Linked DNA regions of Neurospora crassa OR74A. The protein of the gene in region 2 interacts with the protein of the main gene of each other region in a pairwise test. Links are inferred from orthologs where the notes say so. Each region holds a gene or a part of one and is shown on either strand. Other genes may lie near its edges.

Region 1 (6,897 bases), on a different chromosome or scaffold from region 2:
TGTTAGTCCACGGACTTGACTGGCTCACTTAGTCATCTGGCCCTCACCTTTTACCTACGTGTTCTCGATTCTGTTACATCCTCTCTCCTTCCTCTCCTCGTTCTCTTCGCTTTCTGCAACACCAATGCGGAATCTCTACTCCGGTTCCGGAAATGCCGGTATTCTCAGGTTGCATGATGTCTTTCCCAATCAGAAACTATGGGCAAAAGAGCTTCCTGTCTCTGTCGAGACGTTACGACTATCAAGGGCAAGTAAAGTCCAATAAGCACCAAGTGGCCTCGAATGATGAATAGTCTTGTGTTGTGTAACAACAATGTAGCCACTGTAGCCCCTTTCAGCGTCGTTCGTTGGCTGTCTCTGTCTGGGTTACTGTAGTCGAGCATTACACTTGGAGGCGAAGGGTCTGAAACTCGCCATCTCGATGCCTTCGGTAAATTTGCCTGTCTGTCCTTGTGTCTTGTCTTTGTTTTGGTGATGTGTTGTTGCAGACAGGACGGGGAAATGTCAACCTCGACTCCAGACCGCTTCCGTGGTTCAGAACCTCTGGTTTCCATAGCCCGAGGCATACCTAGACACACCACAGTCGGTTTTGTGTCACTCGAAACACGTTTCTAGGTGAAAAAAAAGGTTCGAGTTGAGGTGGATATGTCGTCTTTTCCGTGTAACAAAGGACCCTTGATCTTCGTAGGACATTTCCTGATGTGTGTGCGAGTGCGTCGTGTCCGTGTGCTCCCCGGTAGCGAGTTCCAGATCCCACAAGTCGGTTCTTTGTTGCGTAGCTAACAAATTCTCGACAGATACTGAGAGCGACTTAGTTCGATGGCGATGGCCACTTCTTGGAAGAAAGACCGTAAAAGAAAAGCCATTAATTCGCCAGGAAAAATACAATGTTGCTTCGGGCTTCTGGGAGGATTATGCTGGAAGCATTTTGAACAACAAAAAGACACCAAACCTACCCCTTTTTTTAGACTGGTGAAAGCAAAAAGGACAGGATGCATGGAATCCGAAAGTAACCTTCATCATGCAGGTGGATGTTGTTGGGGTTACCTATCAGTTCGAAAAGTGTTCCCAATGGGGACCATCCGTTGCCGTCATGATGCAACTTTGCGCTGTCAATTGAAGCTGCATGACGTGGGTGGGACGGGCCTCGAGCCAGGGGGGGGGGAAACATATAAGTAAGAAGTAAAAATAACAATAACAATACTAATAAAATTTGAGAACTTTCAACACCTTGTGTTCCACGATGCCAGTCGGGGCAAAGCTTTTCATTGCAGTGATGGTGTGGTACTTTGTGCAGGATCTCATGAGCCAAGGTGCCGAAGCCCTATCATGATTACAGCAACCGTACAAGTTGCGTTTGTTGGCCTGTGAGCAGATGACTATTCACATATGCTTGAGCCCAGCTGGAGCATGGTTCTTGTTCGCCATGATACGTACGACCGTGGGGGTTTGTTAACAATGAGCTCGCTTCTGGCCACCCTTTCTCTGGTTCTGCGCCCTCTGCCTGCAGACGAGAGACAGGATTACAGAAATCCAGATATCTTCGGGTGCTGCCACGACAACATGTCCAGGGATTGATCAACAATGGCGTTAATGACTCACGGTAAGAGCAGAAACTAGCAGCTGCGAGACAGCCGCAGTGCAGTTTGCGGTTCGATGTCAACCTACGACAAGCGAACACCGGCTCACAATAGTTGCTGATGCAATGCACTTTCGATGACGGACCAATGTCGAGCTCGAGACGCGGGATGTGCAAGAAGAGACAAAAATCGACAGACCGCCCTTCATGTTGCCGTTAGGACCGGGACGCTACCTCTACTGGTAGTGTGTGTACCTAGTCACAGGTACCTCCTTATCGGGCTCGGCACCCGAATCTGTCCGTTATCGAGTGGGCAAATCGGCAGGCTTGGCGTTGCCCGCTGTCTGGCGAGTCCCGTCTGGATGTCCCCAGTGCAAGATGGTTCAGGGGTTTCCGTGTCCGGACCGGGTGGGTGGAAGACCCGGCACCCCACATCACATTGTCCCCAACCTCCCCCGACAGTCCAACCTCACAACCGACGCGCCGTGGCACGATGGCCCTGTCGGGTGCGGGTGAACATTTGACTAAAGAATTTGTTGGAAACCCCGAATATTCGCCCTTCTATCGGAAAGCGTTGTACAGACCTTGTCTCTCACAGGGGGCAACTTTAACCGGCGCCTGTCGATTCGGTCGCCGAAAGGGCAGACAGCGGCTTCAGACAGGATCAGGATGTGCATGCGTGTTGAGGTTTTTGTGCTCGTGCTTGCGTACGTAGGTAGCTATGCCTGCACGCGAGCGATTGTCTTTTCCATCTGATTCCGATACCAAGTCCCCCCAGCTGGGGGGAACTGTTGAGGAGCCATTGAAAGGTGAACGAATCGACCAGGGAATGCGAGATCAAAGAACCATCCCGGGGTAAATCACATTCTCTCTTTTGACGTTATTATGTACTGTGTATTTCTTGGGGATATCGGCGATGGGCGTTTGCCATTGGTCGTGGCACGGGGTCGTATCACTAGCAGAGTCCCAACATATCGTGAAATAAACATATGATTCGACTTTGCAATCTGAAATGCCAATGTCCTCTGCCCCGGACCGGACAGGCAGATGCCACCTACGGGCGGGCAAGTCTAGAGCCCGAAAACCCCGGAGCTTGGACAATGGCTGCGAGATCCCTGTATGTACCAACTTGTATGGTAGTCTACCCCCAATTGTATACCTCTAGGTGCCCTGGCGCGCGATCTCGGACGCCCCAGAGTCCCGTCTCCCCCCTTGACCGCCCGCCGCCCGGCCGCCGCGCGCGTGGTGCATGGGAAATGGAGCTCCAACAATCTCCAGGGCAGACGTGCATCCACATCGGAACCACCTCACGAGAGGCTAATGAGGTACATCTCCCGCCATGTCCCTTGCGGGCGCCCTTGGCCTGTTTGTCGGGTCCCCAGGTATATAAAGAAGGCTCGTCAACCAACGTCTCTGATTGTTCTTTTGTTTCGATCCCCCATCGTCTTCAGAAAGATCCATCCCGGTCACAATCTCGCACTCCCCCCCCTTAAAGCAACTAACCATCTGATCGCGCTCCCGAGCCGCGATCCCATCATCCGCCAAAACGTTTTCCAACCTACTCAACTCGTAAGTCGACGGTTTCCAGGTTTCTGCCGCCGCTTGCATGTTCCTGCCATCCCTACGACCGCCCTTCTGTTGCGTTTTCAAGCCCTCGCTTGTTGACCCTTCACCACGCGGGTTGGTGTGAGTGAAGGGTCGGGGGAAATGTGTTTGAGGTCGTCCCATATTCCCTAGCCCAGTCACAGCCCTTGCGGCTCTGCGCTTTGTGCCACTGGCGGCCGTAAGAAAATATCACAATCTTTAGATCTTTCACTAATATAAATTATCAGAGTCCATCACCCGTACGCAGGAGCCCGTTGTTCTGCCTCGCCCGGAAGTTCAGCGGACTCGGTCTTTACCCCATAAAAGACCGTCAACAGCCAAGATAGCCAACCAACCACTTACCTGCACCTGAACAACCACCTTTACCGTCAACATGACTACCAACGGTATCAACGGCACCAACGGCGCTCATGCCAACGGTGATGGACATATCAACACCACCCCCAAGACTTTCGTTGTCAACTCCCCCAACGTAGTCTACACCGACGAGGAGATCCGCTCCAAGTACACCTACCGCACCACCCTGTGCACTGTCGAGGGCGACAACTATGTCGCCGTCCCCAAGGAGACTGTCTACGACTTCAAGGTCGACAGAAAAGTCCCCAAGACCGGTCTGATGCTGGTCGGCTGGGGTGGCAACAATGGCACCACCGTGACCGCCGGCATCCTGGCCAACAAGCACAAGTACAGCTGGGCTACCAAGGAGGGTACCCAGGAGGCCAACTACTACGGCTCCGTCATCATGGGTTCCACCATCAAGCTCGGCATCGACGCCAAGGGCAAGGATGTCAACGTTCCCTTCCACAACGTCCTTCCCATGGTTCACCCCAACGATCTCGTCATTGGCGGCTGGGATATCTCCGGCATGCCCCTCGACAAGGCCATGGATCGCGCCAAAGTCCTTCAGCCTACCATGAAGGAGCTTGTTCGCGAGGAGATGTCCAAGATGGTCCCCCTGCCCTCCATCTACTACCCCGACTTCATTGCTGCCAACCAGGAGAACCGTGCCGACAACGTTCTCCCCGGCTCCAAGGCCTCCATGGAGCACGTTGAGCAGATCCGCAAGGACATTCGCGAGTTCAAGGCCGCCAACGGCCTCGACAAAATTATTGTCCTCTGGACTGCCAACACCGAGCGTTACGCCGACTTGATTGACGGCGTCAACGACACCGCTGACAACCTCCTCAAGTCCATTGAGGCCGGCCACGAGGAGGTCTCCCCTTCCACCATCTTCGCCGTTGCCTGCATTCTCGAGAGTACTCCCTTCATCAACGGCTCCCCCCAGAACACCTTCGTCCCCGGCGCCATCGAGCTTGCCGAGAGACACGGTGCCTTCATCGGCGGAGACGACTTCAAGTCCGGTCAGACCAAGATGAAGTCTGCCCTGACCGACTTCCTCATCAATGCCGGTATCAAGCTGACCTCGATTGCGTCCTACAACCACCTGGGCAACAACGACGGCTACAACCTTTCCTCGCAGAAGCAGTTCCGCTCCAAGGAAATTTCCAAGTCCAACGTGGTCGACGACATGGTGGCCGCCAACAGCGTCCTGTACAAGGAGGGCGAGCACCCCGATCACACCGTTGTGATCAAGTACATGCCCGCCGTCGGCGACGACAAGCGCGCCCTTGACGAGTACTACGCCGAGATCTTCTGCGGCGGTCACCAGACCATCTCGCTCTTCAACGTGTGCGAGGACTCCCTCCTTGCCTCGCCCCTGATCATCGATCTCGTCGTCATCACCGAGATCATGACCCGCATCCAGTGGAAGGCTGCTGAGGCCGGCGCCGCTGCCGAGAAGGACTTCAAGCACTTCCACAGCGTCCTGAGCGTCCTCAGCTACATGCTCAAGGCCCCCCTCACTCCCCCCGGCACTCCCGTCGTTAACGCGCTTGCCAAGCAGCGTGCTGCCCTTACTAACATTTTCCGCGCTTGCGTCGGTCTCGAACCTGAGTCTGACATGACCCTTGAGCACAAGCTCTTTTAGGCTGTCAAACGTCAATCATACACGGCTGCAAGCACATTCTTGAGTGGAGGATTTTGAGATCTGAGCTTTTAGATGGAGGGATTTTGGGATAATGCGAGCCAGCCTGAGAGTCGCTGTTTGCAACAGCACAGCGTTAATGGGAAATTTTGAGAAAATGGTTAAGAGCGGGTGATATGCTGCCAGGAGGGAAATTAGAAAAGAAGATCATAGTTAGTAGCTTGATCTTTGCTAGATGCCTTGAAAGGTACAATAATGAACACCGTTCTTACATGTGTGGTTTTGCTCGACCTTGGTGATTGGTGTACGGTACTACTGTGGTGGTTGTTGACCGTGATACAAACTCCTACCACATAAACCACAACATCTTGTCATACTTGACTCAACATTCTCATCCTTGACAATTACTTTTCCTCCTCAGGTACTATCATTCCACGTCCATCAAGCGGTAACATATCAACCATTGGAGTCACCAACGCCCGTTTTCTCGAACATCTTCACCATTCCACGCCCAACACACAGAGCCGCTTGACCCCCGCAGACCACCCAAACGTCAAGGTAACACGGGAGTACAACAGCCGTTCTTCCAAATCTCTAAGTTCCAATGGGTCGACTTTGATCAGGTCCTTCCAGACATGTTGATGAGATTGAGGCACAGCATAGTAAGCATCGTGATTGTCTTCATGTGAAGTAGCAAGGTCAGAGACATCGTTATTCGGCAATGATTCAGTCGCTGTTCCATGCTCGCCGTCAAAACAGATGCGACGACCACCTCTGAGCAACTCAGACCATGCTCTGTCGCTCCAGACCAACTTGCACGGGGTGACGCATCCTGTTTCGTCCGCGACAGGTCCGATTACACGGGGGTTAATGGTCAGTTCGCAGTCTTTGTGGCAGTTCTTGCACGTCGCGGAGGACTGGTTGGAGTAAAGTGGAAAGTTGCAACTAGAGATAGGCAATGTCAGTTTTCAGTAACTAGTCTTTTTTTCTCGCCAAGAAAGGAAACAAGAGGCATGCTATTCTGCACCAGCTGCACTGGCGACCTGCGATGGGAATCGCTGCGTCTTCGGGCAACGATCAAGATACGAACTTCGTTCGAAAGCAAGTGGGAATGAAAGAGAAAAATACGGAGGACGTGGCGGGGCTCTTTTCAACCATCAATGAAGGCGACAAAAACAACAAGAAGCTCAGTCGCCCAGGAAACTTGGGGGAACGAACCACCATGCTCCAGCAGCGACCTACAAAAGCTGTACCACGGGTACCTCGCACACCGGCGATGTTTCTGTGAGTAAGGCCTGGTTCCAGACCTTATACATGATACGGTCCGTAGGTAGAGGGGTAAAGATGAGCGATGGGAGAAAGGCAGTCTTGTGTGAAGTACCGTACAGGCTAGTTACGGTAAACTGACTCACCATTCGAAACAACAAAGTCTGTTCTGTCTCTGGCTCTCGCAGATACTGACACCAAGGATGAGGACGTTGAGTTTCCCGGTAAACACAACGCTGGCGTCCTCTCTAACCCTCTCATCCACGTCTGCCAAGGTATAGAGTACCCTGTTCGGGCCGTTGATAGCTTGTTCGACATCCCATACACCAACGGGGAACGGCGTGTGTGCCCGCTCTCTCTTTCTTTGAGCTTCAGCCATTCGTCGAAGCCAATGAGCATCTGGAAAGTCGGGGTCCACATCCACTATCGAGTTCAGGGCAACCCCCAGTCCTGGGTTTTCGTT
Region 2 (5,677 bases):
AGGTATCTGCGGCGGCGGAGATGGGTATGGCATGATGTAGCAGAGATGTCTTGATGCTGCTGCTACTGCGTACCACGTTTCAGAAAGATAGAAGGAAGACGCCTTTAGGTACACAAGTAATACCACGAATGACGACCAAGCAAGGTCCTGAACGGACGGAATAATGGTGCGATGTGCAATATGATGTGAGTGACAACAAGCCACCCAGTTTGATTATATGCTTCTCTAAATGGTATCTCTTTTTTCCCTTCCTCGCTGCGTTGTGATTCCGTACTCCAACTCCAACTTCAACTCCAACTCCAACAGCCCAGCCACTCAACCAAGCTTATCAGCGTCCACATCCGGGTCAAATATCGAGATCTGGTTCATGGTCTTCTTCGTTTGCTTGACTCTTTCGTCCTTGAGCATGCGCGCATCCATTCTCGCATCCTCGCCCTCGACCCTGAGAGCAGCCTTGGGCGTCACGGCCTCGATGATGTAGTGGTTGTCGCAGTGCGGGCAGTATTCGTCGGAATCCTCGAACTCGGTCGCATCCTTGCGGAAACACTTTTTGCACTTTTTGCAGGCAAAAGTCATCTCGAGTGTCTTCTTAAGGGGGTGCGACTCGGACTCGGCGTGGCATTCGGGACAGTCGAACCATTTGCGGCCTGCGTAGGAGGTGGGTGTAGAGTTAGAGGTCATGTTTATATGGCTGCGATGTTCGGTGTTGTTGTCGTTGTATACTGGTAATAGGGAATCGTGGTGGTTCGTTTATTTGAGACTGAGGTTACGTACAGCATGGTGACCGGATGGAGACTTGAGCATTGAGAACGTGTTTACTGGATGGGAGAGGATCTAGTTAGCAGGTGGTTCGTGGAAGTGGTCTACACGAGCAAACAAGGGGAACATAAGTAGAAGGCATGCCGAAGTGTCAGGTCATGGCATGGCAGGTGGGAGTTTACTTACCACATGATGACAGACAGGAAGAGGTTACTTATGCGCAGAGAGGTAGATAGTGTAGATGGCTCGTTCTGATCCCTGATTTTATGATATTTCGTCGTTGTTGGGTTCTATGTGGTATGTACGACACCAAGATTCTTTCGACGTCGCTTCGTTCTCCTTGATCGCCAATGTTCACGTCCGGAAAAAAAAGGGTTCACCGAACTTTATCACGGCACTTAACGCGGTCGTCCCGTCGCCCCCCCCTTCGTCCACCCACCCAGACCAGAACCGACCCGACCACCACTCAACGCGGGGTGCTTTTCGGACTGGACAGCGGGTGACACGGGTGGAGCCTGCAACTGAGGGAGTGCACTGAACGCCGAACGGTTCCCTCCACTTCCAGGTTGGCTCCAGAAGACTCGCTTCCCCACAAAATAAGCGTGGCTGATGACTAAACTAGCGTGTCTGGCCCCTGTCGGCCTTGCTGTCACAGCGGCTCGGGCGCCCGGCTCCTACGGTATCGCCTTAACAATTTCCATAACAGGACAGGAACCGCAGTGTAAGCAAACTAGGCCTGCTGTACTTGTACCCTACAATACCTCTGCTTGTAGAGCCAGGTATCTACCGTAGCGTACAAAAGACAAAGTGGAATTTCATCATCCATTTCAAACTCCCATCCTTTCAACCTTGTATTCTTTTTTTGCCACTGCACTGGCATTCTTCATTTGTCCGCCTGCTAATCCATCCTTCTAGAACTGAAACTGCTAGAAATAGATAAAACAGAGCAGAGACAAGAAAGAAAGAAAGGAGATCACGTTTTCGTCATACACATAATGCCGCCCAAGCGAAAAGCGGTCGGCGCCCCCCAGGCCGGCGTTGCCAAAGCTGGCCGCACTTCGGCCCTGTCCACTCCCGGCCCCGCGACTCCCCGCAGCCTCGAGAGCTCGTTCCAGTCGGACGGCGATGATGATTTGAACGACGACGACGTCGACGAGGTCATCAAGAGGAAAGAGGAGGTGATTGCCCGCGAGGCCGACGAGTTCGTCAATACATGGGCCGTCGATAGTAGCCGTTTCCAGGCCCGACAGGACGGTGGCGGCAGTCATCGTGACGGCGCCACCCAGTTCTTTGGCAGCGGGAAACGCGACTTTTCGTATCTGAACTTGAAACCCGACCACGACCAGAAGCCGCTGTGGATCGACCCGGAGAAGGGCACCATCATACTCGAGAAGTTCAGCCCGGACGCCGACCGCGTCACCGACTTCCTCGTCACCATTGCCGAGCCCAAGTCACGGCCGCATTTCCTGCATGAGTATCAGTTGACCGCCCACAGTCTCTACGCTGGTGTGTCCATTGGCCTGCAGTCAAAGGATATTATAGACACCCTGGATCGCTTCCTCAAGACCCCCCTGCCCGAGTCCATTCGTCTCTTCATTGAGTCGTGCACAAAGAGCTACGGCAAGGTGAAACTCGTGCTGAATAACAACAAGTACTTTGTAGAAAGCTCGGATGCCGAGTTGTTGCAGAAGCTGCTCCGCGATGAAGTAATCGGAAAGTGGCGTGTCCAGGGCTCCGGTGATATTACCACCTCCTATGCGCCCACCATGGGCGGCCTGGTCATCCCCGGCACCAAAGATGCCGCCGGTGTGAACCAGGCAGGCCTCAACAAGTCTGGCAACAAGAAGACTGCCGAGGATGGGGCCGCGGACGCTGCGGCGACTAACGAGGCAGACCTCTACGCAGCCATCAATGAGGAAGACGACGAGGACGACAAGGACGCCGTCCATGCCTTTGAGATCCCCGAAACCGCCGTCGAGATTGTCCAACGACGCTGTCTTGACCTAGGATTTCCCATCTTGGAGGAGTACGACTTCAGGAACGACTCTAATAACGCGGATCTGGAAATCGATCTGCGACCAAACACACAGATTCGTCCGTACCAGGAGCAGAGTCTCAGCAAAATGTTTGGTAACGGCAGAGCAAAGAGTGGCATCATTGTTCTGCCGTGCGGTGCAGGCAAGACCTTGGTCGGCATTACGGCTGCCTGCACCATCAAAAAGGGTGTCATCGTCCTGTGTACCAGCAGTATGTCCGTCGTGCAATGGCGCCAGGAGTTCCTCAAGTGGTCCAACATCAACCCCGACGATATTGCCGTCTTTACCGCTGAGAGCAAGAACAAGTTCTCTGGTAATACGGGTATCATTGTTACTACATATTCTATGGTTACCAACAACCGAGAACGATCTCACGACTCCAAGAAGATGATGGATTTCCTCAAGAGTCGTGAATGGGGTCTGATGCTTCTCGACGAGGTCCACGTCGTCCCTGCCGACGTCTTCCGAAGAGTTATCTCTTCCATCAAGTCGCACTCCAAGCTGGGTCTCACAGCCACCCTGCTCAGAGAAGACGACAAGATTTCCCACTTGAACTTCCTAATCGGCCCCAAGCTCTACGAGGCCAACTGGATGGAGCTATCCGAAAAGGGTCACATCGCCAAGGTCCAGTGCGCAGAGGTGTGGTGTCCTATGCCCACCGAGTTCTACGACGAGTATCTTCGTGCCAACTCGCGCATGAAGCGCACTCTTTACGCCATGAACCCCCGAAAGTTCCAGGCCTGCCAGTACCTGATCAACTACCACGAAGCCCGCGGCGACAAGATCATCGTCTTCTCCGACGAGCTGTACTCACTAAAACAATACGCCCTCAAGCTAAATAAAGTCTTTATCTACGGCGGCACCGGCCAAGCCGAGCGCATGCAAGTGCTCGAAAACTTCCAGCACAACCCGCAAGTCAACACGCTCTTCCTCTCCAAGATCGGCGACACCTCGCTCGACTTGCCCGAAGCCACCTGTCTCATCCAAATCTCCTCCCACTTCGGTTCCCGTCGTCAGGAAGCCCAGCGCCTAGGCCGTATCCTCCGAGCCAAGCGCCGTAACGACGTCGGCTTCAACGCCTTCTTTTACTCACTCGTGTCCAAAGACACGCAGGAAATGTACTACTCGTCCAAGCGCCAGGCCTTCCTGGTCGACCAGGGCTACGCCTTCAAGGTGATCACGCAGCTGGCCAACATCGAGAACACGCCCGACCTGGCCTTCGCCACGGCGCAGGAGCGGCGCGAGCTGCTGCAGCGCACACTGGTCGACAATGAAAAGGGCGCCGAGGATGATGTCGAGACGGACGATCTGTTTGGTAAGGTCGGGCGCGGAAGGGGTGGCGCAAAGGGCAGAGCGGCGGCGGTTCGGAGAATGGCTGGAACCCTGGGCGAGCTCAGTGGTGGTCAGGATATGGCGTACATTGAGCAGAACAAGGCGGCGAATAAGGGGTTGAAGAAGAAGGGTGCCGCCAAGGCGGAGCAGAGCGCCTTCTTCAAGAAGCTGCAGAGGGAGAAGGAGAGGAGTCGGGCTTTGGCGAGACAGGGCTAGAAGAAACCGTCTTGATTTGGGGTCTTTGACTTGTATTCTCCCTCTCTCTTTTTGCGCTCATTTTGCATCGTCCGTCCGTATTTATAAAGCCTGCGAAGAAATTTCATTGCTATAAGGAGATATATCCACTTTCCGGAAAGTTAAACTGGAATTTATGGTTAGGTGTGTAATCGTTCTCCATAGACGGAAAAAGCAGTAGTCTTAAGACATCCATATTATCAGTGTCATATTGTGGCACTCATTTGGATGGTCACGAAATCGTAATATACAATTTAAAAGGGTTTTTTTTGAACATAACACAAATATATTAATTGCCTTGCTCAATGGATGAATGCACCTTAATTCACACAAGTTTGATATGTCACCTAACTTTCAACAAGTGCCTTCTCACTCACTCACTCACTCATTATGAATTAGCTAGTGATCAGTAGGTAGGGTAGTACCAGTATCATTCAAGCTTTCATCTTCATGTTCTCATCATCTTCATTCCATCATCAACCTCCCTCTATTTACCCATCCATCCATCCATCCATCCATCTCACCAAACCCGTCCGTTTCAAATACCCTTCCATTCCATTCACAGTAATGTAATGTACAGTGTTTTCAAACGGCAAAAAAATCACCTCACCTCACATACAATACCCCCTAGGAAACAATCCCACTTCACCCATATACCAACCCACCCCCCACTCCTCATTCAGCCCTTCCACCTCGGTGATCTCGGCCCCCTTGGGGAAAATCAGCTCGTTCTTGGCTTCCGGGGAAGATCGGTACCAGCTAAACCGGGCAACCACGCGTGTTCCCGTGCCGCCATCGGGTGGGAACAGGTCGGTTGTTGTTAGTCGGCCGTGGTGGTGGGGTGCTGATGAGGAGGTAGGCGATGTTGGTGAGGTTGGTGAGAAAAGTGGTGATGATGGGGATAACGGGTCTTCCTCTGAGGGGGAATGGTCGGGTAAGATGGCGGGGTGGGAGACGTCTAGGGAGACTAGACGTTGGAGAAGGAGGAATTTTTGGTTGGGTTGCTTGTCTTCATCTTCGTTGTCGTTGTTGGTGGTGTCGTTGGTGTCGTCTTGGTCTGCTTTGGAAGAGGATGAGGACGCACGACGGGAGGTATGCGAGGTATGGGAGGCATGGGAGGAAGTGGGAGAGGGTAGTAGTAGTGGCGACGACGAAGATTCCGCGTCATGCTGCCAACTCCAAATTTGCATTCCCCTTACGCCCCCGAGCAGGAAACTCTCAATCTTTAGGCGGTGTCCGCCGACAATCTCGTTCAACACTTTCCTCCTTTCAACGCCCGTTCGGTCGTCGGTAATAAAGGAAACGATGGTCATGCG

The links. The genes of interacting proteins can lie anywhere in the genome.
Region 1: the proteins of NCU06438 (region 2) and inl interact in a protein complementation assay, tested with the Saccharomyces cerevisiae proteins (2 studies listed by BioGRID). The link is inferred for Neurospora crassa OR74A from reciprocal best matches to the Saccharomyces cerevisiae genes SSL2 and INO1.

What each region holds. Positions count from the first base shown.
Region 1 is NC_026505.1:4,182,737-4,189,633, reverse strand, and holds inl (inositol-3-phosphate synthase), read left to right. Parts: upstream 1-2,791; 5' UTR 2,792-3,148; intron 3,149-3,411; 5' UTR 3,412-3,557; coding exon 3,558-5,171; 3' UTR 5,172-5,647; downstream 5,648-6,897. Other genes in the region: NCU10547 (hypothetical protein), read right to left, coding at 5,666-6,113, 6,581-6,897. UniProt on the Saccharomyces cerevisiae protein: Key enzyme in myo-inositol biosynthesis pathway that catalyzes the conversion of glucose 6-phosphate to 1-myo-inositol 1-phosphate in a NAD-dependent manner. Rate-limiting enzyme in the synthesis of all inositol-containing compounds.
Region 2 is NC_026503.1:1,414,478-1,420,154, reverse strand, and holds NCU06438 (DNA repair helicase RAD25), read left to right. Parts: upstream 1-1,520; 5' UTR 1,521-1,754; coding exon 1,755-4,343; 3' UTR 4,344-4,617; downstream 4,618-5,677. Other genes in the region: NCU06439 (zinc finger protein), read right to left, coding at 316-647, 775-818, 946-950; NCU06437 (hypothetical protein), read right to left, coding at 4,973-5,677. UniProt on the Saccharomyces cerevisiae protein: ATP-dependent DNA translocase. Component of the general transcription and DNA repair factor IIH (TFIIH) core complex. When complexed to CDK-activating kinase (CAK), involved in RNA transcription by RNA polymerase II.